Tamandua tetradactyla: one gene and its partners. The protein of the gene in region 1 interacts with the protein of each later gene in a pairwise test. Links are inferred from orthologs where the notes say so. Each region holds a gene or a part of one and is shown in the gene's direction. Other genes may lie near its edges. The genes, in order: FAM168A, SF1, UBE2V1 and UBASH3B.

Region 1 (7,124 bases):
GAGCAGGCTAGGGGCACTAGGAAGTTAAGGTAAAATGAGTGCAGGGTTTCTATTTTGGGTGAAGGGTAAGTTTTAGTAATGGATGTTGGTGAGGGAACTGCAACATTGTAAATGTGATGTATCCCACATGGTATATTTGTATATTTGGGAGGGGTTGGGATGGGAAGGTTTGTGTTATACATGCGTTTCCAAAATTAAAAAAAAAAATGAAATAAAGATAAACTAAAGAAATTATGACAATTAAATGCAATACATGATCCTGGATGGGATCTAAAAATGGAGGAGAAAAAGCACAAAAGGACATTACTGGGACATAAGAAAAATTTGTAGTATAGAATGTAAGCTTCATACTAATGTTAAACTTCTTGTACTTGGTACCTGCACCTAAGGTGATTATATAAATGATTATCTTAGTTTGTAGTGAATGAACATGGAAATATTATGTGTTCAAGGAGTATGATGTGTGCAACCTGCTCTCAGATGTTCAGAAGATAAGAAATAGAAAGAAGGGTGGGCCATAGCTGCTCAGCAGGCAGAGTTCTTGCCGGCCATGCCAGAGACCTGGGTTCGATTCCTGGTGCCTGCCCATGCTGAAAAAAAAAAAATAGAAAGATGCTAAAACGATACAGCAAAGATGGCAAAATGTTAAATTTGGTGGCTCTGGGTATCCATCTGGGAGAGGGGGGGTATGGTGGAGTCCTCTGTATGCGGTTTGTATTATTTTTTCAACTGTAAGTTTGAAATTATTCTAAAATAAAAATAAAAAAATTCTATTGAAAAAGATAACTGATTAATAGAATCTTTCTTATATAATTTAGAGAGAAAAGAATAGCTCTGGGTGAAAAGTCAATATAGAAAAAAATAAAGTTAGAAGTTGTTTAAGTGTGCTACACAGAAAATTCATCAACGAATAAAACCGACTTCAATGTATTAATTCCTTAAATACTTTCTTAATGGAATTCATTAATTTTGCTGTAATTCTGAGTAAAAAGTTTACATTGTTTAATTTGGCAGAGATTTGGAGACAGAATTCTAAAATTAGATAAAGGGTCTGGACAATAAATGGTCCTTTACAGTCTTGGAAGCACTTTCACACCTATTGTCTTACTGGATTCTTTTAAAAGCTTTATGGGGTGGGCCATGGTGGCTCAGCAGGTAAGAATGCTTGCCTCCCTGCCATGCCCAAGGACCCGGGTTTGATTCCTGGTGCCTGCCCATGTTAAAAATAAAAGTAAAAAGCTTTATGAAGGTCAGTGCAGAAATAATTCCTTCCTTTTTATAGATGTGGACATTGAAGTTCACAAAGTTAAGACTACTTCAAGCTCACCCAGCATAGCAAGGTCTGATTTATGTAATTTATATAGCTTCTTCATTCCTATTCCTCTAATGCTTTGTACCCTGGACAGACCAGCACCCTTCTAATTTTGACCTCCCAGGCCCCACTATCCCCCCCTGGAAAAAGTGGGGAAAAGGAGAAGTAAAGTCAGGGTTTAGAAGAGAAGATGGTCGATACTACACTTAGAGATGGGAAGGGACCTGTCCATCACAGAGCAGTCTCATCTTATGCTCAGAAAAGCAAATAGAAGATTTAGGATTTCAAGGCCGGAAGAATAGGATGAAAAACGAACTAGGAAGTTTGAAAACGACAGTGCCTGATGTACTTGGGTAAAATAAATCCTGAGGGGTAAGAGTATAAATGGACCGAGATGGGACAAATCTGGAGATAGGCTGCAGCAGGACAGTTATCTTGGGAGCTAGGTAATCTAGGCTTTTTCCTAGTGGGCAGGGTAGTGGAGCTCGAATATCCCGGTGTTTCTTGCAGGACAGCAAAAACACTAACATACAAAATTGAAAATTTTAATTTATTTATAATTTTTATAATTTAATTTTAAAAATTTATTTTAACTTTTTTATTGTATAGTATAACATATATACAAAGCAAAGAAATAAAAAAAATAGTTTTCAAAACACTCTTCAACAAGTAATCACAGGACAATCCCAGAATTTGTCATGGGCTACCATATGATCCTCTCAGATTTTTCCTTCTAACTGCTCCAGAATATAGGAGGCTAGAGGACTTACATATTTTTTTATCATCACAATAGACTTTTCCCCCTTTTTTTGTGAAAAATAACATATATACAAAAAAGCTTCAAAATTTAAAGCACAGCACCACAATTAGATGTAGAACATATTTCAGAGTTTGACATGGGTTACAATTCCACAATTTTAGGCTTTTACTTCTAGCTGTTCTAAAATACTGGAGACTAAAAAGAGATATCAATTTAATGATTCAGCATTCATATTCATTTGTTAAATTCTATCTTCTTTATATAACTCCATCATCACCTTTGATCTTTCCATCCCTCTCTTTAGGGGTGTTTGGACTATGGCAATTCTAAATTTTTCTTATTAGAAGGGTCTGTCACTAATATGGGGTAGAGATATGGAACTATCTGATGTTCTGGAATAGCTGGGCTAGGTTTCAGTACTTATCTGGATCAGGGAACCATCTGGAGGTTGTAGGTTTCTGGAAAGTTACTCTAGTGCATGGAACCCTTGTGGATATAATTTAATTTTAATTAAAATACAATGTAATTGAATACATGATTTATGCTGAATCACAGATAATCTGATACTGCACTCTAGAAGAGATGGACACACAGGTGGTCGAAGGAAAATTCTCCCTATTAACTTATTTTATTTTCATCATAGTGACCACTATTATTTGTTTTACCAGTGCAACTCTTGAGCTCACAGAAAAGCCAGATAGGCATAGACCTGGAATATTGCTAATGACGAGAAAACTAAAAGTTTTCTTTAGTTTGCTTTAGACTTTGAAATTGTATTTTTTCAAACTAGTCTTACAGCCTAAAAAATAAATATATATGAGCTCCTTTTAAAAAATTCAGACAACATGAAAATAAAAATTACTTGAAATCTGACATCTTTCCCTCTAAGACAATCACCAATAATATTTAGGGGAACCTCTTTCCTGAACTCTCTATGCTTATAGAAGAAGCAACTTCAAACTTCGCATAAATCGGACCCTTCTAAATATGCTATTTTGCAATCAACGTTTCCTCAACAGTGAATTGTGAATAAGCTCTCCATGTCAATAAATAGATCTATACCATCACTTTTAATGACTTAGCACTTTATTGTATGTATATATAATTTAACCAACCTTCTATTGATGGACATATACATTATCCCCACACCCCTACAACCTCATGTTCGATCATCCTTTTAAGGTTAAGTTTTTTTTGGGGGGGGGGGGGCGGTGCACGGTCCGGGAATCGAACTCGGGTCTCCAGCATGGAAGACCGGAATTCTCATCACCGAACTACCCGTGCACCCTAAGGTAAGTTTTTAAAAGTAATGGAGCTGAGTCAAGAAATACACCCTTTCTGCATTTAAATTCAAATTGCGAAATCGTCCTAAGATTTGCTGGGAGACCACTGACGAAGCTGCTGCATTAGTCCTGGTGTTAGACATGTGAACCGGAATGACAAGTAGAATACAGACTCACAAGTCATCTCGCCCATCTGGGCTTGTCCTTGCTGGGTTGGCATATTTCTTCCAGTTTTCCTCTTTTTCTTAACATGGGGGAAGAAATGAGAACTGCCTCTCCCGGCATTTCGCAGGGGCCACACTTATTCCAAACTGCAATATTGGGTCTGAGAAAGATCCGGAAGGCGGGCCGGAGGCTGCGTGGAATGCTGGGAAATGTAGTTCATGGGTGGCTGTATTCGTGTGTGTTTGTGCGTGGGTGTGCGCGTCTATATGCGTGCGCTAGTGGGTGTCGGGGGGAGGGGCGCGTGGACACACCGCGAGATTCTTTACTTGGAGATGAAGCTGCCGGACAGCCTGACTTCCCTGACGTATGGTCACTGTGTTTACAAAACCCGCCGGCGGATGGCTGACGTTATTCTATTGTCCGTGACCAAGGAGGGCGCAGTGCTTCTGCACTGAGCGCGACGCTAGGGCTGTAGGCCGCTCGCAGGTTGAGCGGGGAATGCTGGGAGTTGTGGTCCTAGCGCGCTGAGACCGTGGGACGTGTCGCGGCGCCGCGCTTGCTCCTCCTTCCCCGCCCATCTCAGCGGTCTCCCGCCCCCTCCCTCCGCCTCCACCTCCCTCGCCCCGCTGCCGAGCGTCCCCTCCCCCCACCCGTCGGGCTCCTCGGCCGCTACTGCAGAGGTTTCAGAGCCGAGTCGCTGAGGAGGAGGCTCCAGGACCCTGCGCGCCATCCGCCACCCTACAGGACACGGGCGAGGAAGCGAGAGCGTCGCCACTACAGCCGCCAGAAAAGACAAGGACATCGCCGTCTCAGCCGCCGCCACCCCCGTTTTCGCCTGCAGCCTCTCGCTGGTGAGGAAACCCCCCTCCCCCCTTCCAGGGTCCACTCGTCCTCAGCCCCGGCCGGTGGTACTGGGGGAAATGAGGGTGGGGGCTGCAGAGCCCCCGGGCGGGTTGGGGGGAGGGGGCTGAGGTCGCGTTGGAACGGCGGGCTGACGAGGGAGATTTGTCCAGGCGCGGACTGGGGGTGGGGTGGGGGTGGGACCCAGCAGGGTGCGGTGGGGGAAGATGAGGGAAAGGGACTTTTAATGGGGAATGACCCTAGTTGGGACGGGAGCGTAGGTGGGAGTCGCATGGGGTTGGAATTTGGGAAGGCCTTGGGGAGAAGTGGGAGATGAGACTGAAGTGGGGTGGCCTTTAATGGGGGAGGGGGCTGAATGAAGGTGGTGGTTTTGAGGTTGGCCTGAAACAGTTGACAGCTTGGGGTCCTAGCTGGGTGGGGGTTAGGGACTTGAATTCAACAGACTGTGGGATGTACAGGGCTTGGACTGGACCCTGGAGCGTGTTAATTCAGGAGGAGGGAATGTGGGGTGGACCGGGGTAGGCTGATGGAGGTGGTAGGAGCTGGGGCTGAGGGTCTGGCAAGGTTTGAGATCTGAGACCGGAGTGGGCATTTGCCACCTGGGGGTGGTGGAATTTGTGGTGACTTATGGAATAGCAGGGCTTGGGATAGAGCAGAGGAGGTGGAATTCAGTTTTTCCTGGGGTGGGCTGATGGAGGTTGGAATAATTGCAGATAGGGGTAAGGCTTTTAGTAAGAGGAGTGTAATGGTGAGCTGGCGGGAGGAAGGGAAATTGAAAGTTAGGTCCAAAATGGACTGACAGGTTTTGAGATTGAAGGGAGGCATAGTGGGTTGGGATTTAGGGTGATCTTTGAACCACTGTAAGAGGCATGATGGCTCCCTGGGGGCAGGTTCCAGGCAGAGGGCACTGAAGAAGGGCCTGGGCTGGACTCACTGAAAGAATAGTGGCAGGTGGTGAGCATGGTTGTGGAATGGTATGTTGAAGAAAATGTCCTTTAGCCAAGGTGGAAGAGGGAGTTTTGGAGAAGTGTTTGAGATAACCTGGTTGGACTAGAGCAGTGGTTGATGATGGTGAGGCGGCAGAGGGGGAATTTAAAGAGTGGAAGACCTGGAGTTGTGGGAATAGATGGGTCACAGAAGATGGAAAGGGGTAGTGAGCAGTGCTGGGAAGAGGTGGGTTGGGCCTCCAAGAGACACAAGAGGGTTAGGGGTTGGAACACTTAAATGGACATCTTTGGTGGCTGTGGTTGGTTAAGAGGTTTCTTATAGGAGGCTTTGTAGGGAACAGAGAAGGTGGTACATTAAAGATACATTCCTAGAGAACCTCTTAAGAGGCCTTTGATCTTATTGTTTGTTTCATTTTTATTAGAATCATATTTGGAAGCGAAGTCAACCCAGAGGATGAAGTTGAGAGGGGTTTCTGTTAGGGTAGAATTAAGGAAGGGGGTGTGTGTTTTCTTTCTGTTAGTTCATATATCACAAAAAGAAAGTTGGAGGAAAAAAAACCCACCCCCCAAATAAAGGTGGGTGAAGATGGAAATGGAGTGTGATAAATATCTTTCTGTATGATGTCTCTGCTTTCTCTTTTCCCCTCCTCTGGTGCTCTTAAGAACTAGTTCTGGAATTTTAAATTTAAATAGATTTGATGAGATTGAGGTTGTTAAGGGAGCGTCCCTTGCTTGAGAAGTGATGAATGGGACTGAAAAATATGAGACTGGATTTATTTTCTAATCAGCAGCGTGCATTTATATGGAAAGAAAGCGCTTAGGGCCTCCACCCCCCCCCCCTTTAAAATTGATTGCTTGAAGACTCCATTTATTGGTATCTTGGTTTGCAAGGCAATTAGGCCCATCATTGTATTGCAGGGTAATAATCCTGAGATGAGCCTTGGCACCACTGCTTTATGTAAACAGAGAGAAGACAGAAAATATGGAAATGTCATAAATATTCATTGGTAAGACGGTTTGGTAGTGATGGTTTTTTTTTTCATTTGATTCTCTTTTGACATTACTTGATAAGATTTAAAATTATTGGACTATATTTCTATAGTTTGATTTTTCTCCTGCAGGACATTCAGGTGATCAGAATTTTGTCAGATGTAGCCAAATAAGCATATAGAGTCATTTTTATTTTATATTTCAAGGGATGGTGTTGATGTAGGCACATTGCATTAACCTCAGAAATAATATCTCCATTTCTTTATCAGAAATTTGATGTAAAGCTTAGTGATGTTCACTCCCATGCTGGATGGTGATGATGGAAGATAGAGAGGGGTTGAAGGAGGAAGCATCTTTAGAGAAATAGTTTTCTGACTGTAATTATATTAACTGTGATATGTTAAAAACATGAAGTGGCTATTGATTAGAGCTCAGACTAAGAAAAAATGGGGAAGGATAAAATCGGCACTAGTTGGATTAAAATCTTTTTTATTTTTGTTCACACTTCGAAATTCAGCTTGCAAACCATTTTCCCTGGCTTTCACAATTGAACACCTAAAAAAAATCCAATACTTAGAATTTTTTGTAGTTCCAAAATGGTCATAATATGGAAGGTTGGATTACTCTTGAAATTTTGAAAGTGTTTTTGTGAGGAGGATTTCTGTGTTACAGTAAAAATCAGGTTTGAACAGTTGCCCATAATTCTATGAGAATGTAATCTGACTTATGCAAGCAATTCTCATAACTTTACTCTGGGGTCTAGACATTACTTTTGTGGCTCTGCAGGCTTGATCTATAGGTGGGAA
Region 2 (7,693 bases), on another chromosome or scaffold:
GGTCCCTGTTGATGGACATTTAAGTCCTTTCTACTTCTTTGATATTGCAAACAACTGCAATACATGTTCTCACGCCCACGCTGCTCTGTACATACTCCAGTGTGTCTATGAGATGAATTCTTGGAAGTGACATGGCTGGATCAGAGGTGGCCATACTTGTCATTGTCATAGCTAATGTCAAATTGCCCTCTTCAGGCTGGGGTCACATTGGCCTGAATCACTCCTGTGGCTGAGGGGAAAATGCATGGGCACCCAGGATGTTGGGGGAATTGGCCCATAATCCTGGGGTCCTAGAGGTGAGGGCCAAGGGGAGAGGAGACAAGCAGAGCGTGCCTTCGTGATGGCGGGGGATTGGCTGTGTTTGCCATAGTGTGTCCAGAACTGGGTCTTTGCTAAGCTTCATCTTTCCCCATATACTGTATCTTAAACTTACCTGCTGGGCTGTCAGAGAACAACATAGGTGAATTTTAGAAATGTCATACTGCATTAAAACAGCAAATTGCACAAAACTATACGTGCTTTGACACCATTTTTATAAAGCTTAAAAAGCAAAACTAACCCATGTATTGTTTGGTATTCCATGCACCATGATAAAACTCTATTAAATCAAGGAGGAGCAAAGCACAAAATTCACGGTGGTGGTCCTCAGAGGGCACTGGGGCATGGGAGGAGGGAGGACCCAGGAACTTGCAAAGCTACTGGTAGTATCTCGGCTCTCGGGTGGGGTGGCAGGTTCAAGGGGGTTCAGTTTGTAACTAAGTTCCTGACCCTCAGGGGCACCACACATCTCTTGTTATGCATCTGATATAATAAAATGCAATTCTAAATATTTAAAAATAACTAAAACCCCCCCACAAAACCCTATAGTGGCTAAAACAAAACAAAAGTACCAAAAGAATCCTTTCTTAGATGATGAAAGACTGATGAAATCACCTATGAATCACATCTGTGCTCTGCTTTACAGAATTGTGGGTAGAACCCTTGCCCTGTGGCTGCTGTTATTTCTTTAAAAAGAAAAAAACGCTTTGAGGCATAGCTGATGTACAGTAAGCCTTGTGCTATTTGATGAGTTTTGACATATGCATACACCCATGAAACCATCATCATAATCAAGATAATGAAATACATCCATCACCCCCCAAAGTTTCTTCCCTTGGTAATCCCTACCCCATTCCTTCCCTGTCTCCAGGAAACCAGTGATCTGCTGTCACTATAGGTTAATTTGCACTTCCTAGAATTTATATAAATAGAATCATACAGCACATGCTCTACTTTTCTCTGGCTTCTTTCACTTGGCATAATTATTTTGACATTCATCCATGTTGTTGTATGTGTTAATGGTTTATTCCTTTTTACTGCTGAGTAGTATTCCATTGCATGGAGCTTGTTTAGCCAGCGCTTACTGATGGGCACCTGGGAGTGATTCCAGTTTGGGACTATTACAAATAAAACTGCTGTGAACATTCATGTACAGTCTTTGTGTCAATATATACTTCCACTTCTAATGGGTAACTACTTTGGAGTGGAATGGCCGGGTCATATTGCAGGGGAGTATTTCAAGAAATTGCTGAACAGTCTTCCCAAGCAGTTGCAACATTTTACATTCCCACCCAGCAGTGTAGGAAGAGTTCCAGTTTCTCCTTGCTAATACTGTGTCTGGTCAGTCTTCTTAAGTGTGCTGTATTTACTGGATAAATATTTCCTTTTCAAAACCTTTTTTTTTTCTTTTTCGCATGGGCAGGCACCAGGAATAGAACCCGGCTTTCCGGCATGGCAGGCGAGAACTCTGCCTGCTGAGCCACCGTGGCCCGCCCTTCATTTTCAAAACAATTTAAACATCACTTCCCCCCTTTATTGTCTGCAATATTAGCTTCATTTTTTTTTTTTTTTGTTTATAGGAATCATACTTGCTCCTTACAAAAATAAAAATAATAAAGTATAAGGGAAAAAAGCAAAAGTTACGTGAGATTCGTGCTACTAGAGATTGGGACTGTCCATTGTGAATCTATGCCTACAGAGTTATACAATGCTATATAAATGGACTAGTGTCACACATATTCTATAAGTATGAAGCATATTAAAAAAAACTATATTGGGCTCTTAAAATGTGTTAGATAACTTCCAGGCTCACTTCTCCCCCCACTCCTGCATCTTCACTGAGAACCAGTGCTGTATATCCTTCACTAGCTTTTCCTATACAGAACCCTGTGCGAATGCCCTTGCACACATGTATGAGGTTTGTTTTGCAAAAACAAGATCAAGGAATATATATTTCTATGCTGCTTTTCTCATTTAATAACACTTCAGCAGGAAAGGCCCTCCAAGTCAGTTGGTAGTGACTAACTCTTTTTCAAGGCTGCCTAATAGTCCAGACTGTGGATAGTCCAGTTTGTTCAACCATTCACATACTACTGGAAAATCACTTTGTTTCCAGGATTTTGCCACTGCAAACAATTCGAAGTGAATGACTTTGAACACATGATGCAATCACATGCTTCTCTATGGGATTCAAAGGGGGGTATCTGGTTTCCAAAAAAAGGAAATTTATCCACCTTCCTTTTTTGCTATTTATATGAAGAGCCTCATTGTCGCCATAATTTGCATTTCCCTCTTAGGACTGTTGCAACCCTTTCACATTTCTTGGCTATCTGCTTTTTAGAGATTTGTGAGGATGCCAAATCTTACCTGAGGGCTGTGATCCCGGAAAACAGCAAAAGTTAAGAAATCCCCCCACTCTGTGCTCCGGAAAAAGGGCTCACTGCAAAGAACCCCCCTTCCGGAAGTGATTTAGATAAGACTCCCAGATGGTATGGGGGACCGGACACAGACTCTCCAAATTCTCATTCTTCAATTCATCGCTGGACTGATCAGAACAAAATGCCTGTTAACCAAACTTTGGTTAAGCTTCTCTCTTCCTCCAGCACCCTGAACTTTAGCCCATCCTCAGCCGGAGCTAGCACAGTCCTTCCTGGAAACAGGCTGGCCTTCGCCTCCATTCTCTGATTACACCACTCTTTTATCCCACTTCCCCACACCTGGGTCTACACCCCTCTCTCGGAAAGCCTCTTAGCCTAACTCTTGAGACTCTGCTGAACCGGCAGTCAGTGTTCTCCCTGTTGTATATTCTCTTTTCCTATACTCTTGCAATGATCCTTTCAAATAAAGTCCTTACCGGCTCTGGACTTGTCCATCTGACAACTGCCCATTCAGGCTCTTTGCTCACTTTCTCTGATTAAGTTTTTGAGTTTTTTTCAGAGTTACTAGTTCTTTATCTGTCATACGTGTGGCAAATGGTTTTTCTAATCTGTAAATTTTCTATTGACTTTTACCATACAAAGTTTTATATTTTTTTGATCAAGTATGTCTTTTTTTTTTTAATCTTTACTTTATGGTTTCCAAGTTTCCTGTCTTCATAAAGTCAACTCCTAGAATATTTTTATAAATCTGCTAAGTTGTATTCTAGATGTTTGATCATTGTTTATACTTAAGACTATACCATACATTAACTAAATCTTCTTCTGCCTGATTTGAAATACTACCTCAGGTATTTCTACCGCTATCTGGGGAAATTTATTTCAGGACTCTACTACTTTCCACTTTGTTAACGCAACATCAAATTGTTTTCACTCCTGAGTTTATATACCAATGCTGACAATCTGGAAGGCAAGACCTCAGTATTTTCGACAAGTGGGAAACCACGATTTTCAGTCACTCTTCTATATAACTTTAAGGTGATGTTATCAAATCCCGCTTCCCTCCCCACCAAAAAAGAACCCAGTTGGGATTTTGGTGGAAAGATTATACATTCGTGAATTAATTTTAGAATCACAATTTTACAGTGTCTTCCAGCCAAGGTTATACATTCTTGCATCGGCTCAGGTATTGTTTAAAATCTTTCACCAAGACTTAAAAGTTGTTGTTTTCTACTTATTTTTTTAAATCTCCTTTTAACCAGCAGCGTCAACGGATCTGCGGCTGGGGCCCGCGCCGGCCCCTCCCCGCGCCCCACGGTTCCGGGTTACCATAGGGATCTAGGCCTGACGTCACCGAGGGCTTCCGCGCCAGGCCCCGGGGTTGACCGCAAAGGGAGTGGGGCAGAGAGGCGGCCCCGGCATTGACGCCTGCGCACTTCCAGCCCCCGTCCTTTCCGCTCCACCCCCCCCCCCCCCCCGCAGAGTCTCGTTCCCGGGCTCCTCCGCCGCGACTTCTCCTCCAATCCAGCCGAAACTGCCCCCTGGGGGAGGGGAGAAGAAAAGGAATCAAACGAGCTGCAGCCAATCCTACGACACTACGACGCAACCTAGTTTGATTGACTCAATCAATATTAGCCAATGAGGGAGCGCCTCAGCCTCACGTCACAGAGCTGGCCCCACCCCGCACCTTCTTTCCTGGACTCGGGGCTCAGTTCGCGCAGTAACAAATGAAGTGAGTGCCGCGACACCTCTCAGCTCACGAGGCTCCGCCGCCATTTCCTTTCTTGGCCTAACGGTTCGGCCAATCCCAGCGCACATCGAGAGAGGCAAGGGCTCCGCCAATCCGGGGACGCCGATCCCGACCCCTGGCCTCGGTCTGGGCCAATCAAGGCCCCGGCCCCGTCGCCCCCGGCCCGCCCCCGCGGCGCCCTCTCTCCTCCCTCTTTGTGCGTCTCGCGCCGCCGCCGCCGCCGCCGCCCGCCGCCCGCCGCCCGCCGCGTGAGAGGACGGGCTCAGCGCGCTCCGCGGCAGCGCAGTCGGGTCCCCTCCCCCCGGGAGATTCGCGAAGAAGAAGCCGCCGCCGCCGCTGAGGAACAGCAGCCGCAGGCGCCGGTCCCCGGGGGCGCCATGGCGACCGGAGCGAACGCCACGCCGCTGGGTAAGCTGCCCCCCCCCGGCATGCCCCCCCTTCCCGGGTCCAAGGGGGCCTTCGAGCCGGGGCAGCCGCCTGCCCCTGGGCCTGGGGCGGGACTGCCGGGGTCCGGGCCGCCGCCACCGCCGCCCGTGGGATCGATGGGGGCCCTGACCGCGGCCTTCCCCTTCGCGGCGCTACCGCCGCCGCCTCCCCCGCCGCCGCCCCCCCCGCCGCCCCAGCAGCCGCCACCGCCTCCCGGTTCTTCGTGCCCGCCTCCGCCGCCGCCCCCTCCTCCTCCTCCGCCGCTCTACCAGCGCGTGTCGCCGCCGCCACCGCCGCCACCCCAGCCGCCGCGTCAGGACCAGCAGGCCGGCCGGGCCGGCGGGGGAGGAGGTGAGTCGGGCCGAGAGCGCGAGAGGCGTCGCGCGGACCGGCCCGGCCGGCTGAGGGGCGCGCGGCAGTGGCGACGGTGGCTGCACGCGGCGGGGGCGCGCGCGCGCGCGCGCGAGGAGACCCGGGCGGAGGCGCTGCAGGGAGCGCGCGGCCCAGTACTCGGAGCCTGTAGCGCGCAAGCGCGCTGATGGGAGGCGGAAAGGGTGGGGGGGTGGACGAGAGGTTTGCTGTGCGCAGGCGCAATGTGGTAGCCAGGCCTGGCAGTGCAACTCGAAAAACGGGAGGCCCTTAGAGTAAGGGACCCGTGGTGTGGCGGGGTGCTGGGTGTGGAGGCCGGGTAGGCGTGGGATGGCCACCTGACAACGGGGAACGTTCCTTTCCTGGTCCTAGAATTTGGGCACGTTAATAAGTGGCCTGAAAGGGAGGGAAGCGAGCAAGGCCACTCTCCTTACAGTAAGAATTAAAAGGGCTGGGAGTCAGGGGATGTTGATTTTTTTGGCTCTATTTTTTTTTTTTTTTTTGGTGGTGGGGGGAGAGATTCTTTGGTCCACTCTGCCTTAGCTGTTATTTCTTAGTCTCTCACTTCATTTGCTCCAGAGCTCTGTGTCTGATTGCCCCGCCTTCCCTTACTGTTCCTTTAAAGGGTCTTCTCTGGAGACCTGTGTCCTTTGGGAAATAGTTTTTGCGTGGTGAAGAAGTTTCTGCCTTTGTGTGGGGGAAACAGTGTTTGGCTACTTTTGATAACTTTTGTTGAGTTTGTAATACATCTATTCAGAGTTCAAATTGTGAAGGTCTTGGCAGGGAAAATTGAATGCTAGTCTTGATTAACCATTGGAAGAAAAAAATGATCTAAATAGAGCTTTTTCCTTTACTAGTGTGTTATGGTAGGTTGTGTTTTGGGTGCATTCAGGAAGAGATTGGTGAAGGTGGAGATGGGAGGAGGCAGCAGTTCTCCAATATTGCTTTAACTTGTTCCTAATTCTCTACTTTTGTTTTCCCCTGGGGCCTTTCAAGACTTCATGACAGATGTAGTGTGTATTTTCTCAACACTTTATTTTGTTATCTGAAACTTTGTGCTTAGATTTGTTACCTTGTATACACACCTTACATTGTTTTTATGGAGGAAAATTCTAAACATGAAATGTTTACTTCTTTTGACCCAGATCCAGGCAGAAGCCATATGTTTGCATCTGAGTTATGAGGTTTATCTTTGCTAATTAAATTTTTGGTTAACATTTCAGTTTCACAGTCTACCGAGATTTGTGTAATATCCTAAGTATCCTTAACTGCCTATTGGTAGTTACTCTGCTGGTTTATATTTGCATCTGATGGATTTTATCTCCTTTTAGATTTCCCAAGTAAGAAGCGGAAGAGGAGCCGCTGGAACCAGGACACAATGGAACAGAAGACAGTGATCCCAGGAATGCCAACAGTTATCCCCCCTGGACTTACTCGGGAACAAGAAAGAGCTTATATAGGTAAATACACGTTCTGCATACAAATGCATTTTCATACTGTTATTCAGAGCAATATTTCTGTCTGTTGGAAACTTGAGGTTTTAAAGTTTTCTATTTTGAGAAAGCGCTATGTTCAGGTGTACTTTCAAGACTTTCACATAATACATCAGTTTTTACTTAGTGGGTCCTGCATTTGCAGCTCCTTGTTTTGGTCTGTTAACACCATTGTTCTCCTTGAGTGCCAGGAAGGTAGAGGGGCCCACTTAGGAGTGAGAATAGTTCCCAGGCCAGAAGGCCCCCCTCCCCCACCCCCCATCCTTTTCAGCTGCTGTTCAGTTTCCTTACCAGTTGATGAGGTGAGTGCCTTGTGCCTCTGGACACAGCCCCAGTGGCGAACACTGCAGGTATTGTAAACTCAAGTAATTTTTCACTCAGCATGGCCTTTCACCATAATTTCATATTCCTCCTTTTCCCTAAAATGTGGTCTTTTACTTTTTATAGGTACTTTCTGAGGGGGGGACTCAGTTTGAACAAAAAGTGACTCTGAAAGTGTGTTTACAGTTCACCCATTTTACCATTCTGTTGACCTTCCTGTCATCTTTTCTGGTGTGGTTTTTGGAGAGCTATCTTAAAATGAAGGCTCTTGTATCATTACTAAAGGACTCTTCTGAAAAAGGGATACTGCTTCGAAATGAAATGAGGTGGTAGGATAAAAGATCTTAATTGTTGGGAAATTTCAAGATTTAAGAGTGACTGTCCACAGTTAATGGAAATTAACTTCAGGATTACCTTTTTTTTTTAACTACAAGGGTTTTAATGCAAGTTTTACGTTTACCTGTGCTGCTGTCTTAGCAACATTTATTTGATAAATATGATTTTCTACTAACCAAATAAACATCCCCTTGTGAGGAAATTAGGGCAAAGGCCTTTTACTTTTAGAGTTACGAAGCTCTGTGGCTGTCAGAAAACTTCAAGACCAGCATGTTATTTTTGAGAATCCTCATTTCCTATGTTTT
Region 3 (7,703 bases), on another chromosome or scaffold:
TTAAACTTTGATACCTCCTTCCCAATCCTCTTCTACAAGGGTTGTGCCAATTTATACTCTCACAACAACTTTTGAGAGTGCCTGTTACCTCACACCCTTGCCAACAGAGTACATTATCGAATGTTCTGTTCTCTGCCAATCTGATAGGTGGTTTTAATTTGCATTTCTCTTAGCGAATTACAGGGAATCTAAGATATCATCCATTGTAAGATGCATCCTGATTCCAGAGATGTTTGAATGTAAAACTTAGATTCAATGAAATACAATACGTAGAATGAGATTGGGTGTGTCTTATCATGAGCTTAAAAGGCATTTGGATCTCTATCTCAAATCCCAGCTCTGCCACTTATAAACTGTGTTACTTTGGCAAGTTACTTATCCTGTTTGTGCCTCAGTTTCCTTATCTGTAAAATAGGGATAATAATGGTACCTACCTCATAGGATTGTTGTGAAGATAAAATGAATTAATATGTACAAAATACTATGTGCCTAGAACATAGTAAATGCTCAATAAATGTTTGCTATGATTATTGCTTTCTTTTGGGTTCATTTTTTTCTTGACAAAAATGCAAGAGCTCTTTATAAATGAAGGAAACTCATCCGTTTTGTCATTCTCCTGCCCTGTATCCCTAGTTTTTATTCCCTTTTTTCCTGACCATAAAAGTACAAAATTCAAACATTACAGAAATAAATTGTATAGGAAGAAGAAAACAGAAACAAACCAGATAGCACCATGACCCCTACCCATCCACTCCTAACCCTTTTAGGTAGCATATTTTAGCAACTACGTAAAGGATCTACCTTTATATAAAATATCTACACATCGCACATGAAAATCACAATTGTGCCTAATGCTGTAGTGCATGGCTCACGTGGGGTCCATGGGTCCATGTATGTGTCAAAACAGCACCAGCCAATGTGTCATGCCCACTGTCAACCACAGACTCCTCCCAGGGATTCTATGATCCATTTTCTGGTGGTCTGTGGCCCTTCCTGTCAACAATTTGTCAGCTTTACTTTCAATAGTTTTTATTATACAGGCTATAGCAGGAGGGTTTTTTTTTTCCCTTAACTATAAGTAAAAGTACAGCCATAACATTATAGGATGCAGTCCACACCTTGCTACCCAAAGTATGGTCTGTCAATCGGAGAGGCATCCCCTGGGGGATTGTTACAAATGCCGAATCCCAGTGCCATCCCTGGAAGTCGGACATCAGATTCCGCATGTGGCTGTTCAAAGCTGTATGTACCCCAGAAAAAAAATGTTCTTAAATTTAATCCATTCCTGTGTGTGAACCTGTTCTAAGTGAGGTTACTTAACTAAAGTGTGATCTGCCTCACTCAGGATGGGTTTAATCCTATCCTGGAGTCCTTTACACAAGAATGAAATACAGACAGAGAAAGCCACGGAAGCAAGAAGCTGAAATCAAGGAAACCTGAAGGAGAAGGGAGAGCCCAGGAGATGCCACCCTGTGCCTTGCCATGTGACAGAGAAGCCAAGGATTGCTAGCAGCCGGTCTTCAGGAAGAAAGCAACATCTTGAGGATGCCTTGATTTGAACATTTTTCCTGGCCTCAAATCTGAACAAACATATTTCCACTGTTTAACACAGCCGTTTCCTGTTTGCTTTAAGCAGCCTACGAAACTAAAACAGCATTTCAGCAAGATCTCTAGTAATCAGAGTTTGAGAAGCATTGCTTTAAAAATTAAGATATAGATCTTATAAACTATATTGAATATTATGTAGACTACAAATACAAATATGTTGAAAGGTTTTACATTTTGAATATACTTTTTCAAACGCCTTTCGTAGCCTGGGCGTTTTCCTACCTTTTTGAGATTAGAGTTTTTGAATGAACACCATGGAACAATCCAGGTAAATTTACATCTCTTGGCTGGACTCCTGCACCAGCTTCTTGAATCTGTTAAGTGTACTTTTTGCTGTCAGTAACAGAGACCTACCTCTAAGAACAGCTAAAGCAACAGTTGTTATTTCATGTCTTAAGAAGTCTGTAGGTAGGTAGTCTCAGGATTCCTTCAGTAGCTCATACCATCCAGGACCTAACTCTCGCCATCCTTCTGTGCTGGCATCTTTGGTGTGCTAGCTTTTTTGGCATTAGGCATGTGCATCAGCATCGTACCATGGCTGCCACAGCTCTGACCATCACAACCTCATATGGTCATTAGAAGGAAAAGGGACAAAAAGGCTCTCTCCCTAGCTAGTATTAAGGGGAGAGAAACTTTCTAAACATCCCCCTCCCTGGCTAATTGGCCAGAACAGGGACACAGGCACACCACTGGACAAATCACTGGCAAAAGGAAACAGCAGTCCCCATGACTGGCTTGACCAAATCATGATTCACACCTAGCATCACACCCGTTTCTGAGCAATACTAGGTTTGGCAGCCAACAGCGTCTGTCACACCTCCCCTCCAGAGTGCCCCATCCGTCTCCTTGAGACAGCCAGGCTGCACTTTCTAAAAATGCAAACCTGCCCATGTCCTGCTTAAAACCTCTGACGTCCACCTGCCTCACAGGGAAAACGGCAGGTAGGACAGGGTTAAGGGACATGAGTTCTAACCTGATTTTACCCCCTTTCTTTGTTGTGTGACCCTAGGAGAGGCATTTAACTCGCCCCAACCTCAGTTTCCTCGCCTGAAAAACGGAGACTAACGTCTTTATAGTGACTTTGCAACGGTCACTGAGGATAAAACAAAAGGAGGCTAAAAGGCGCTAATACTCACATAGCCCCTACTCCGTGCGGGCACTTCCTAAATCCCTCAGTTCTAGTGATGTCTCACTCATCCCAGCAACCCGATAAAGCAGGGCTCTTGCCCCAGCCGCTGGCGCCACGAGCGCTGACGCTGAGCGGGGCCGAGCGGAGCCGGGCGGGGCCGCGGGCGGATGCGGGGTTGGGCCGTGGGGGGTGCGGGGTGGGGCCGCAGGGGCCTGCCGCCGAGCGCAGGGGGAGGGCCGGGCGGGGTGCCGGCCGGGAGCAGCCGCGGGCGGGTGCGGGCCGGCCGGGCGGGGCACCACAACCCCCAGCGTGCGCCGGCCAGCACCCGGGGAGGCCTCTTCCGCGTGGGCTGGTCGCTACTCCAGGCAGGCTCGTGGGGTTCCGGGGCAACACTTCGCTTTACTGTCAGTTTACCGCACGAAAAGGCGGATACTATTGTCCCCCTTTTCAGAAGGCGGAACCGAAGTCAGGACAGGTAAGTCCCACAGCAGAGCGCGCGGCGGGGGAGGGCTGCCCCGCGGCCATTTCCCTCCAGAAGACGCTACCACGACCCAGAGTCCAGCGCAGGGATCTCCTCCAGGCAGCCCCGCGATACACGGATGAACGTCAGGGCGCATCACGCGTGGCCCTCAGAGAGCCGATTATAGCTTAGACCTGGCTAGAGAGACCAGGGCAGGCTCCCTGCGGCCGTGCGGCGCCCGCGTTCCTGAGACAGAGAGGGGACGGCACAGGCAGGGGCCCTAAGGAGGGAGGGGCACGTCGGGGTCCAGGTTTCGAGAAGCCCACAGCAGCTCTGGGATGCGGACAGGGCCGCCAGGGCCTCGCGGGCAGCTTGGCCGTCCAAGCTGATCCACGCCGGAGCTGGTGGACTCTGCAAGGTTCCAACAGGCCCCTTTCCTCCTGATGACTGTCCCTGCTGGACGATTAAGTCCATGGTTCCTCAGTTTGGAGGTCTGCATTTTACCCAGGAGAAACGGGGAGCCACTGAGGCTTTAGAAGGGTGTTTTGAGCAGATCTGTCATGGAGAACGGCCCGTGGGGGCAAGAGCGGAAGCCTCTGCGGCCATCAAATCAGAGACAAGGGCCGCCTGCCCCGAGTGGGAGAAGGGGATGGAGTTGAGAGACGCTTCCGAGGCATTCCTGTCAGAACAAGGCGGTGCAGGGGCGCGCCTGGCCAGCGCTTCCAGCTTCTCTGCCCCCCCCCCCCGTCCTTCGTCTCCCGGGTTTAAGATGCGGACCTTGAGCCCGTCCCTTCTCCCCTGTCAGTCCAGTCTTCAGATCCGGATAAGAGCCCATGGGACTCTTGGATTTAACTTGTGTCCAGGCCTTTGCTGTTTCCTCTACCCCTTCTCACCTGCAGGTTCGGATGAAACGCGACCGCCTCTGGGGGCCCTCCGTGACCACCCCTGCCGCCCCTTCTCTGATTTACTCTCCTTTCGATCATAGCCATGATAAGAAAAAATGTCCTTTCCTATTTAGTTGTCTCTCTGTGGATCTCCTCTGACTAGAACGTAAGCCTTTAAGAGCGGGAACTTACTTCTTCAGGGATGTTCGTCCACCCCGGTGCCTGGCACAGCGCCTGGTACACAGTAGGTGCTTACTAACTATGTCTGAAGGCGTGGATGGGCGACTGCTTTCCCTGCCCGCTCCATGCCCCTTCAAGCCGGCCGCGGCCAGCAGCGGCTGTGGGTGCGACCCTCCGCGCGCCTGGCGCTGTCACAGAACCCGGCGACGCGGCCGCTGGAGGCCCTGACAGACCGGGAAAGCCCGGGTGACCGGGGCTGGATTCTGACGCGTTCCCTCTCGAGTCCCAGCACCCTAGCCCTTCTCACCAAGCACCTCGGTGCCTCTCTCGCACCGCGCCCGGAGGGACTCCTCTCCTCGGGTAATTCCTCTCTCAAAACGGAAAGTAAAAACCGTCCCGACAACCCGGCGCAGGGTGCGCGGAGTGGGCCTCAGCGACGGCGTCTGCGCATGCGCGCGCGGTTGCGCATGCGGACCCGGGCCGGGCGGGGGGTGAAGAAGGGGCCGGCCTTCGAGCGACAGCGACGCAAGATGGCAGCCACCACGGGCTCGGGTGAGCGGGGGCGCCGGGCCGCAGCCGCCGGGGCGCGGGGTCGGGCCGGGAACCCGGGACTCACAAAGACCCTTGCAGCCAGGCCAGGGCACTTGCGCTGCCTCCGTCCTCTGGGCGCTGAGGCGGCAACCAGGGCGACCCTACGAGGGAGGCGGAGCAGGCGGTGGCCGGAAGCACGGGCGGGGGCCTGAGGGGCCTGTGGGCGGCGCGGCAAGGCCCAGAGGCTCCCCCGGGCGGCCTGTGGGTCCCTCTGGGAGGAAGGGCCGGGCCCAGCGGCGCTGCTGAGAAACCGGAGTAGGCCGGGGTGAGCCCTGAGGGCACAGCTGGGAAAGCTGGGACTGGCGGCGCCTTGGGAGAGCTCGAGGGGGGTTCTCTAGAGGATGAGCATGCACCCCCAACGCGGCAGGAGCGCCCGACTGGGTGCTGGGAGCCCGGGTGACGAGGGGGCCGTGGGATATTGGTTTTGAGGAGACATCAGAGAAGCCCATCAGGATGGATGGGAGGAGGAAACGGATCTTGAGGGGATGCCTGAGAGGACCGCCCCCATGGGTTAAGGGGCTCCAGTCGGTTTTGGGGATGGGGTTGGCTGAGGAAATCTGCGTGTTGATTAGAAAGGAGGAAGCCAGGGGTCGCTACTTTGGGAGGAGAATAAGGGTATCTCCACAGGATGAGTGAAGGGGAAAATGGAGTCAGATTCCAGAGGGATCTTGTCGGGGTGACTGATAGTGAAATGACCCCATCATTACCAGGCACTTATTCAAAGGGACAGATGGGTTCCTCCGAGTTAGATTTTAGAAGGCAAGCTCTGAATTGGGCAGTTCCTGGAAGCCTCCGATGTTGGGTGAGGGGAACAGGGTGGAAACTAGGGGTGTCTGTGGGAGGGGGAGGGGATCAAGTGAGGGAAGCCCCTCGCAACGGGTAAGAGTGGGAAGAGGTCAGGTTGCAGAGATGTTTCAGAGAAGAAAAATCTCCTCTTTGATTGGACGGTGGGAACATACCTTAGAAGTGCCTGTTTTGCAGAGATTGCCTGCACCTCACTCCCTTCCACCTCTGGATATTGGAGATACATATGTATGTTCAGATGGGAAGTTTCTCAATGGCTGGAGGTGGAAGTTGAGGGGGAGAAACAGATGAAATAGGAGCACCAGGGTAGTTGTTTGGATAAGAAAGGCTGAGCAAACCCCCACTTCTGAATGGACAGCAGAAACAGGGAGTTTTGGGGGGAGGCAGGGGCGGGGGGGGGGGGTCTCCTTCCAGTCTCTAGATAGGTCGAGGGAGACAACACTTATTTTGATACTCAGTTCCCCGTGATGGACCAGAGGCTCAAACTCCAAAAGGTGTGTTTCAGGATTAACACTCTACAGGTTGGACATCAGGGGGTGGGCTCAGCTGGCCTTTGCGGGGGGGTGGGGGGGGCAAGGCGGTGGGTGGAGATTGGCTAGGGGTGATGGCTGATGAAACCAGAGAATCAGATTGGGGAAGAGCAGAGTTTGGGGGAGACAGAGTGTTCCTCTTTTGGTAAGGACAGCAGGCTTGGCCAAGTTCTCCCAGACGGGATGAAGATGGGTAGCCCCTGATGGATGAGGCAGACCCGACCACACTGGAGAAGAGAGTTCGATGCCTGCAGGGACACCAACTTAAAATCCCCAGGCTGTTTAAGGCCACGGTGTTGGGTGAGGGTTGGTGACCAACGAGGAACTGAGTGTGGGCAGCCCGTATTTCTAGGGTGTTGCTCTTCTCTGAAGGTCATCAAGTACCCCAAGAAGCCATCCTATTGTGATTGTTAGGGTGAGGAATTGGAGGTCTGACAAAAGTGATCCACCACAGCCTGCCTTTGACACTCAAAGCAGTGGGTCTGTTTGGAGGATATAGAGACTTCACATTCCTTTCCTAGGCTTTTTTTTTTTTTTTAAGTTTGAACAGTGCTGAGTTAATTCATTTGCTGAGACACTGCCGCAGACACTCCCAGAAGATAGAGGCTGAGTCAGGCCAGTCTTCTGTGGGAAACTTCTCATCAGAAAAACACCCCTGCCAGGTTGCTAGGAACTAGGGGATGGTAGGGCTTATGGCAGCCAGCGTTATGGCGGTATTGCAGCTCAGCCTTCGAGACTGGCTTCCTACAATCCGGTTTAACAGCTTCTTAATTCTGACTTCTTGAGGCCCTACCAATTGAAGAGTGCTTCGTAAATGCTGTAAAGCATTCTCAGTGTCAAGCTAGTGGAATATAAGAGCATTTGGTGTGATTTAAGATAACAGAACAGACTTTAAGGTATCCTAAAATGGACTTTCCAAAACTCCTTTGTTTATTCAACAAGTATTTACTGAGGTCCTTTTATGTCCCATTGCAAGTAATGACAAGATGGATATGGGCCCTGTCCTTGAGTTGCTTCTGTTCTAGTGGGGGAGAAAGGCTTTAAGGGGGAAATAAATAAGATGGTTTCAGATAGCAGTGAGTGCTATAAAGGAGATTGTGTGGTATGATGGCAAACATCTGGAGAAGTTGTTAGGGAATGCTTCTCTGATAAGGTGGAGTTCGAACTAAGGCAGTGATTGAAGGAGTGAACCCTCAGACTGTGCCACAGGCAGGAGAGGAAGTGAGTGCAAAGCCTCTGTGGTAGGAATGAGCTTGGCATGTTGGAAGAACAGGATAAAAGTGTAATATACAAGGGAGGCTTGTTAAGGAGATGAGTTGGAGAGTATATGGCTTTGGATTTTATTGAATACAAGGGGAAGGCATTGAACAGTGCCTTTGAATAGCCATTGAACAATATGAAGCAGGCATTCAGTAAATATTTCGTGAATGAATGAATAAATGAGAGAATGGGAGTCCTAAAAAGCAGAGTTACAAGATCTGACCTGTGCCCTTAGGCAGAGAAAAGAGTACTAAGTG
Region 4 (7,981 bases), about 54 Mb from region 1:
GGTTGATGACCTGCTAACTCACTGACAGCATAGGATTGTCGGTTGTTTGTGCGCAAGTTGGCGTGAACAAAGCTCACAATATCTGGTCTAATGGGAGCCTTGAATGCAGCAGGTAAAGTAACATTTCCCCTATGTTTCTCCCTTTACAGAGTATACCCATATCAATGGACGAGCACACGCCACGGTGGAGAGAGAAAACCACCGTCCTCTCCCCCTTTCCTTTCCTTATATTGAATTATGTATGATCTCTCTTTAATGATGGACATTAAAGATCATCTAGTTTAGTATTTTACTAAATGTTTTGATACCCCTAACTCTCTTCCCACAGAAAATCTTACACAAAACCCCTAAGATATAAAATTATTAAGTGTACCTGTTCTAGGAAGAAGCAGCAAGGGCTCCATGCTTCACCCACTCAACTTTCAGTTGGGACCTCAGCTCCACCCCCTGATCCTAAAGTGCCCCTAAGGGTCTCTTGGCAAAGTCTTAGGGATCCACAGCTCAAACCAACCTTCTCATTTGACAGTTGAGAAAACTGAGACCCAGAGAGGGGCAGAGAAAAAATTCAAGTGAGAACTAACACTTGGGGTTTTGCAACCATTCCAAACTCCTTCCTTTCTTCCTTAGCACATGGTTCCAAAATCTTCTGGCTGTGAAGACTCTCCTTGAATGGCTGAAGGCATTTCCAGAGGTTCTAAACTGCTTTCATTTGCCAAGGCAACATGTCAGCCCTTGGAACTGCAGACATCATGCAGAATTTACTGCCTCTTCTTAATGCAGTCACTTGACCTTTTCTCAAGGAGAGAGGAAAGGAGAAGGAAAAGACCTAGGGCAGACTCCAGAAATTGCGAGTGCAGCTAACCAAGCCCATCCCAAGCATCCTATGGCCACTTCCGAAGAGCCATCACATGAACAGAGATTAAACCTTATTCACACGAACTATAAGATCTTTGTGGTTCAGGGTGATTGTGACATGACCGGTGGGTGCAAGGGGACATGACCACTTGCCTTCTCTTTTGAAGGAGCAGCTTGAAGCTGATGTGTCAGCCCCATCTCAGTGCAAGTTCGCATTCCCTTCCCATCCCTCCCCACGGCTAAGAGATACACTGTCAGATGAATTGTCATGCTTCTCTCTTTGCAGTAAATGGACAACTAAAAAGCTGCCTCCAGCTTTTCAAAGTCAACACAATTAAAGCACAATGAATCTTAGTTGCTGGGCCCTCTCCCCTGCAGGACAAATGACAGCAGTCCAAAATAAAACAAGTGCTGTTGGCTGAAGAAGGATGGGGGAAGCTAAGCTGAAATTTCTGTACAAGTGCCCCAGACAAAACAGTTTGTATCTAAGGTGCCTGCTTTTCCATACTGTTTTCTCCAGGCTACCTAAAGCTATTTTTATAGTCGTCATTTCCTCCATTTCACAGCTTGCCTGGAGCAGAAAGGAAAAGACAATTAACTCAATTTTTCTAGAGAAATAGAGATCCAGCACTTCAGTGTCTGGAGGAGTAAAAAGTTCATCAGAATCAGCCGTTTCAGCAGACAAGGCCTTTTTGTCATCACAGCAATGGTGAAAAGTGATTATATGGTCAAATGTTAAGAGTTCAAATCCTGGCTCTGCTACTTGCTAGCCCTGTGACTTCGGCCCAGATACTTTACCTCTTTCTGTTTCAGCTTCTTCATTTGTAAAGTGAACTATAATATAGTAGTAGCCGCTTCATAGACTTGTTGAGGGATTGGATGAGTTATCGATGTGTAGGAAGTTAAGAACCGCATCAGCATTCAATAAGGGCTCAATATATTTGAGTTATTATTTGTATAATACTTTCTGGTTTCCAAAACACTGCCATGGACATTGTTCTCTCTTCTTCACTAGAATCCAGATCCTTTGACTCTCTCTTGGTCTAGGAATTAAGAAATTCAGGACATTGGGTAAGGTCCAGGGTCCTTTACTGAAAACATTCCCAAGACACTAGTCCACAAGGTATGGTTTTCAAGGCTCAGTTCCATCCCTTTCCTTCATGTCCTGGAATAGTGCTCTGCAAGGTCTCTAGAACATGCCCTCTGCTCGGGAAGAAGCTCCCACCCCAGAAATAGGAACTTCCCCTAATCCCTCACCCAGCAGGAGGTAGTTGCTTAGCCGCAATAGCCTGTATCTCCCCATTTCCAAACACCACCGGATATTCTTCAGAAAACCAATTCTGGGCTAAGGGATAAGCTGTGTCATTTCCCCTGGCAAAACCTTGAGTTGCCTTATGAAGCAACATCAAAAAGTAACTCAAGTGCTGGTCACCATCCCTATCCCACCCTCCGTGCAGTTTGAAAAGAAAGGAACATTTTTGGAGAACATTTTGTGTGGTAAGCATCATACTAGCTTATCATAATCCACGCATGTAACAGACAGGGCTGAAGAATGGAGAGTTTGGCAAAGGCACCCCAGCAGGTGAAACCTCTGGCTCTGCATATACAAACTTTCTAAGCTTCCGCAACTTCTGTGAGCTGAGTTTTCTCATCTATAAACTGGGATAATAATAGTACACACCCACAGGGTGGTTGTAAAAAGTTAACCGTTAATTCAGTTATTCTGCTTAGCGCAATGACTGGCATATACAGGAGCCCAATAAATATTAAATTTTGTTATTGTTATTATTACCCCTGAAACAGGAGCAGCTAGGTAGAAGCAGCAAGGGCTCCATGTTTTACCCACTCAACTTTCAGTTGGGACCTCAGCTCCACCCCCTGATCTTAAAGAGCCCCTAAGGGTCTCTTGGCAAAGTCCTAGGGAACCACAGCTTTTTCATTACACCTAGTGGGGCCCTTGTCCTTTACCTCCTGATGAAAGAATTTTAACATTTCCCAGTCACGTTTCTGCCATGAGGCTGGGGGAGAGGCTTCTTTTTTTGTTGTTTGTTTAATTTTTTAAAAAATACCAAAAAACACCCAACAAACACAAACATTCATAATTTTTTATCTATTCCACTCTACATGTATAATCAGTAATTCACAATATCATCACATGGATGTATATTCATCATCATGATCATTTCTTAGAACATTTACATCTATTCAGAAAAAGAAATGAAAAGAAAACAGAAAAAAATCCATACATACCATACTCCCCACCCCTACCCCCACCAATCACCAGCATTTCAATCTAAATTTATTTTAATATTTGTTCCCCCTATTATTCGTCTTTATTCCATATGTTTTCCTCATCTGTTGATAAGGTAGATAAAAGGAGCATCAGACACAAGGTTTTCACAATCACACAGTCACATTGTAAAAGCTATATCATTATAAAATCATCAAGAAACATGGCTACTGGAACACAGCTCTCCATTTTCAGACAGTTCCCTCCAGCCTCTCTGTTACACCTTAAGCAAAAGGTGATATCTATTTAATGTGTCAGGATAACCTCTTGACTTTGTTTGGAATCTCTCAGCCATTGACACTTTATTTTGTCTCATTTCACTCTTCTCCCTTTTGGTCAAGAAGGTTTTCTCAATTTCCTGATGTTGAGTCTCAGCTCATTCTAGGGGTTTTCTCAATCCCTTGATGCTGAGTCTTAGCTTATTCCAGGATTTCTGCCCCACGTTGCCAGGAAGGTCCACACCCCTGGGAGTCATGTCCCACGTAGACAGGGGGAGGGTGGTGAATTTGCTTGTTGTGTTGGCTGGAGAGAGAGGCCACATCTGAGCAACAAAAGAGGTTCTCTTGGGGGTGACTCTTAGGCCTAATTTTAAGTAGGCTTGACCTATCCTTTTTAGGATTAAGTTTCATATGAACAAACCCCAAGATTGGGGGCTCAGCTTATAGCTTTGATTGTCCGCACTGCTTGTGAGAATATCAAGAATTCAACTTGGGGTAGGGAGAGGCTTCTTTGAAGTAAGAATAGTTTTGTCCAGCCTATGATGCAATTCATTCCTTCATGATTAACTGAGCAGTGGTAATCTAGTCTTTCTTTGAATCCGTTTATTGATAGGGAACTCACTACCACAAAAATCAGTCCATTCTAGTTTGAACAGCACTTATAATGAAAAAGTGTCCGTTTTCTGTTCTTTCTTGGTTCTTCTTCTCTTCTGTCCCCCTTCGTGCTCCACCCTCCTTCCACTTCCTCCCTCTCCTCCCCCTTCCTCCTTTTATCTCCTCCTCTCCCTCATCTCCTTTCCGCCTTCGCTTCTCCCTTCCCCTCACAGATCCTGCCAGCTCTGTGAACAGGAGGCCTCACTCCTTCCCCTAGAGTCTTTATCCAAAGTCACTGACCACAGTTATCGGAGGGTGCAGTAGCTCTTCAGTCTAGTCGCTTGACCGCGGGTGGGAACTCGGCCTCCAGTGGCCTTAGCAATCCTCTGGGTTTGGCAGGGTCTTTCAGAAGCAAAGCCTTTTATCTGAGCCTTCTCTCTTGGCTTTCTGATCCATTAGTGTCATCCATCATTTTGCCAGGTTTCCATTATTAGCCCCATCTAGAACCACACGAAACTCGAGATGGATCGATCTAGCGTCTTCAGGCCCAAACTGACTGATAAGCCAAGAAAAGACTGGGGCGCAGGCGGGGGCGGGGGGTCGCCCCGCAGGAACGGCCGCCCACAGGCAGCCTGGGCCGCTTGGGATCCTCCTCCCAGAAGCAGCTCTGCCGCTTTAAGAGAGGGGCGGGGCCGCGGTCCAGGCGAGGCAGGGCCAGCCCACCAGGGTTCCTTTTCCTTTTTGATCCATTCAAAAATTACTCATTGCAAATTCCCGGACTGCTAGGAGAGGAGAAGGCGGGGCGGGAGGGGGGGTGCGAAGGAGTGAGGGCCACTGCGGGCGCAGCGCTGGGGGCAACCGGGGCTGCAGGAGCCGCCGGCGGGACCCGCGGAGGCAGCGCGAAGGCGCTTTTGGCTCCGGTGGCCTCACCAGGAAGCGTCAGAGCTTCGACACCGGGGAAACACAGAGCGGCCGCCGCCGCCTCCTGCACCGCCGCCTCTCGCCCGGCTCCCGGTGTCCCAAGCCCCCCTCGGCGGGCTCAGCCCCGCTCGGCGCCTGCCACCTGGACCATCCGACTGCGGCGTCTTCCCGGCGATGGGCGGCCGCTGAGCCATGGCTCAGTACGGCAGCCCGGGTCCCCTCGGCATGGCCGCGCGAGAAGAGCTGTACAGCAAAGTCACCCCCCGGAGGAATCGCCAGCAGCGCCCCGGCACCATCAAGCATGGATCGGCGCTGGACGTGCTGCTCTCCATGGGATTCCCCCGAGCCCGCGCGTGAGTGTCCGGGCTCGCAGCCCTCGGCGCCCCCTCCCGCCCCGCGCGCAGACCCCTCGGCTCCGCTCCGGCTTGCCTCCCCGCGCCTGCCCCACCCGCCGCGCGCTGCCCACTAACCCACGACCTGCGGAGTGCGGGAATGGGAGCGAGGGCAGCCCCGGACGCATCTCTTCCGGGCAGGGATGCTGGGGGACACGCCGCCGCGCAGAGACCCCTGGCCCGGAGGCTTGCCTTTGGATGCTAGGGTTGTGGGGCGAGGACAGAGGGTTCGAAACCCCGGCTACGGTGCCTGGCGCTCGACCCTCATCCCCCCCACCCCCCACCCCGCGGGAGGGGGCGAAGGCGCTGTCCTGCGCGCTCCCGGAGTGAGGTGTCCGCCGCTGAGTCCCGTGGGGAGGCGGGGCCCGTCAGAGGACTCGGGCACCCTCTCGGTCCTGAAAACTGGACCAGCTGGGAAAAGGCAAGGGAATGCGGGACAGGGAGGTTGGCGCCCCCACTGCAGTGACTTCCAGCTCCGGATGTCGCTTGCCGCTTCGGTTTCCCTCCGGAGTAGGAGGAGCGGGAGCGTGGGTGCTGCTGCGTGTTCATTGATAGGGAGGATGGAATGGGGAAAAGCGATTCCTCCAGGGGACCAGGGTTCTCGTCACTGGTGACGGCAGCGCAGAAACCTGTGGGTGCCTGAGAGTGAGGAGGGGGGAGCTGTCCTCTCTCATCCTTCCTCTCCTTGGAAGGTGGGATGGGGAAGGGCAGAGGTAGGCACAGGTGCATGTGGCAGTCCCAGCCGCCTACTGGGAAGAGGCCTGGTTGTCAAGCACAGGGGGGCTGACAGCAGGTGTCTCCTTAAAGGTGGTCAACTCAAGACCGTGAGGCCAGGCCAATCTCCCCCAGATAAACTGCCCCTGCAGTCTGCTTAGGTGGGGACATGAAGGGCTGGGATCCTGTGGGGCTCATCTTCTTTGCCTCTATGAATTACATCACCCAAATGGGAGAGTTCAGCAAACTTTATCAGAAGGGTCAAGTTCATGAAAGAGCTTTCTTTTCTCTTCTTCTTTTTTCCAGGTGATAATGCTGGGTCTCCCTTTCCCTACCCCTGGCAAAACTAATTCACTCTCTTCTTTTCTACCCTCTTAACTAAAGCACACCCCTGAATTTATCATTCCATTCAGTCCTGCCTCCTGAGACAGGTTGGATTGGCCTTGGAAGGCCACAAAATGGACTGGTGGTTTTCTGCCTCGCATTCACGTCCAACCACATGGGCTCGTGTTAGCAATGACAGAATTACAGGGAGAAGGTGTGGTGGGCTGTGCTGAGTGTGTCAGGTGTGAATGCTGCATCGTAGTTCCTTCGTGGGGATGAGCTGATGTGCATAGCTTTCCAGAAGTGCCGGGAAATGCTGTAGAATTTGAGGCTGAAGCCAGGGTTAAGAAGCCTAAATTGCTTAATTAAGGAAGGAAATACTTAACTACTTAGACTGTCATGCTTGCAGTTAAACTGGCTTTAAAGGGACATCTCAATTCCTGTGCTGGGTTCAGGAGGACTTGTACATGTCCTGACAGATTGGTATGATGCTCTCATTTTGGCTGGCTTACTCTCTGAGATCCCATAAGAGCCAACTTTAATTGAATACTTAGTATACACCATTCTGAGCATTTGACCTCAGATTATCCATTTCATCCTCCCAGCAGCCCAATATACTCATTTTATGAATTGGCAATCTGAGGGTTAGAGAAGTTTCTTAACTCGCTCAAGGTCACAACCCTAAGCACTGAAGCTGCTGTTCAGACCCAGGCAGCAGGTCTGCACAGCTCAGGCCCCAGAGCCAGGATGTAAATGATTTCACGCATGTAAAAAGCTAAGAAAAGTGAATGGCATATAGTGGGCAATTATTAAGTGTGAGCGACTGCATTCCTTTCCTGTGGCTACTGACTGGGTGACTACAAACTGGGTGGCTTAAAACAACAGGAATTTATTCTCCCATGGTTCTTGGACACCAGAAGTCCAAAATCAGCATTGCTGGGCTGAAATTAAGGTGTCAGCAGAGCTGTGTTCCCTCCAGAGGCTCTAGGGGAGAATCCATTCCTTGCCTCCTCCAGCTTCTGGTGGCCACTACAAATCTTTGGTCTGTGACTTCCTCACTCCAATCTCTGCCTTCATGGTCACACTGCCTTCTTGTCTTCTAGCTATGTTCACTCTACCTGTCTCTCTCCTATCAGGCCACAGTAATTGCATTTAGGGCCCATTCAGATAATCCAAGATAATCTCCCCATCTCAAAATCCTTTATCACATATGCAAAATATTTTTTAGTTTATAAGGTAATATCCACAGGCTGTACAAATTAGGGCATGGATATCTTTTGGAGGACTACCATTCAGCCTATTGCAGCTACTTTGATGATTACTAGCACTGCCTTTCCTTCCTGAAGACGTGAAAGAGTAGGTCATGATCAAACAGGCTGTGAGTTGGGTTTACTGCTCCATCTTTCTTAAATTCTCTGCCTCGAAAAGGCTTGGAGGTCACAGGTCTAGGTCAACACCCTGCCCAGGCTTTGTCTCCTCCGCCTCAACCCAGAATGGCTGATGCTGCCATCTTCTCCTTCATAACATAATTCAGGTTGGGAAGAAGTGATACGTCTTCATGGGGCTATCTGAGATTCCCGAGTCCAGGGCTTAAACTTCATTTGGGAACAGTGAGAAGAAAGAGAGCAAAAGCATTAGGCTTTGCTTATGAGAAGCCTCTCCCTTGAGCCGTA

Evidence for each region.
Region 2: the proteins of FAM168A (region 1) and SF1 interact in binary tests that used the Homo sapiens proteins (3 or more experiments, as listed by UniProt). The two-hybrid records come from large-scale screens. The link is inferred for Tamandua tetradactyla from reciprocal best matches to the Homo sapiens genes FAM168A and SF1.
Region 3: the proteins of FAM168A (region 1) and UBE2V1 interact in binary tests that used the Homo sapiens proteins (3 or more experiments, as listed by UniProt). The two-hybrid records come from large-scale screens. The link is inferred for Tamandua tetradactyla from reciprocal best matches to the Homo sapiens genes FAM168A and UBE2V1.
Region 4: the proteins of FAM168A (region 1) and UBASH3B interact in binary tests that used the Homo sapiens proteins (3 or more experiments, as listed by UniProt). The two-hybrid records come from large-scale screens. The link is inferred for Tamandua tetradactyla from reciprocal best matches to the Homo sapiens genes FAM168A and UBASH3B.

The regions. Positions count from the first base shown.
Region 1 is NC_135334.1:72,424,084-72,431,207, forward strand, and holds the start of FAM168A (protein FAM168A), read left to right. Parts: upstream 1-4,107; 5' UTR 4,108-4,371; intron 4,372-6,246; exon of another isoform or gene 6,247-6,335; intron 6,336-7,124.
Region 2 is NC_135335.1:9,768,776-9,776,468, forward strand, and holds the start of SF1 (splicing factor 1), read left to right. Parts: upstream 1-4,675; 5' UTR 4,676-4,820; coding exon 4,821-5,220; intron 5,221-6,569; coding exon 6,570-6,698; intron 6,699-7,693. UniProt on the Homo sapiens protein: Necessary for the ATP-dependent first step of spliceosome assembly. Binds to the intron branch point sequence (BPS) 5'-UACUAAC-3' of the pre-mRNA. May act as transcription repressor.
Region 3 is NC_135327.1:2,664,862-2,672,564, forward strand, and holds the start of UBE2V1 (ubiquitin-conjugating enzyme E2 variant 1), read left to right. Parts: upstream 1-4,702; 5' UTR 4,703-4,710; coding exon 4,711-4,813; intron 4,814-5,011; exon of another isoform or gene 5,012-5,117; intron 5,118-7,703. UniProt on the Homo sapiens protein: Has no ubiquitin ligase activity on its own. The UBE2V1-UBE2N heterodimer catalyzes the synthesis of non-canonical poly-ubiquitin chains that are linked through Lys-63.
Region 4 is NC_135334.1:18,101,896-18,109,876, reverse strand, and holds the start of UBASH3B (ubiquitin-associated and SH3 domain-containing protein B), read left to right. Parts: upstream 1-4,975; 5' UTR 4,976-5,070; coding exon 5,071-5,231; intron 5,232-7,981. UniProt on the Homo sapiens protein: Interferes with CBL-mediated down-regulation and degradation of receptor-type tyrosine kinases. Promotes accumulation of activated target receptors, such as T-cell receptors and EGFR, on the cell surface.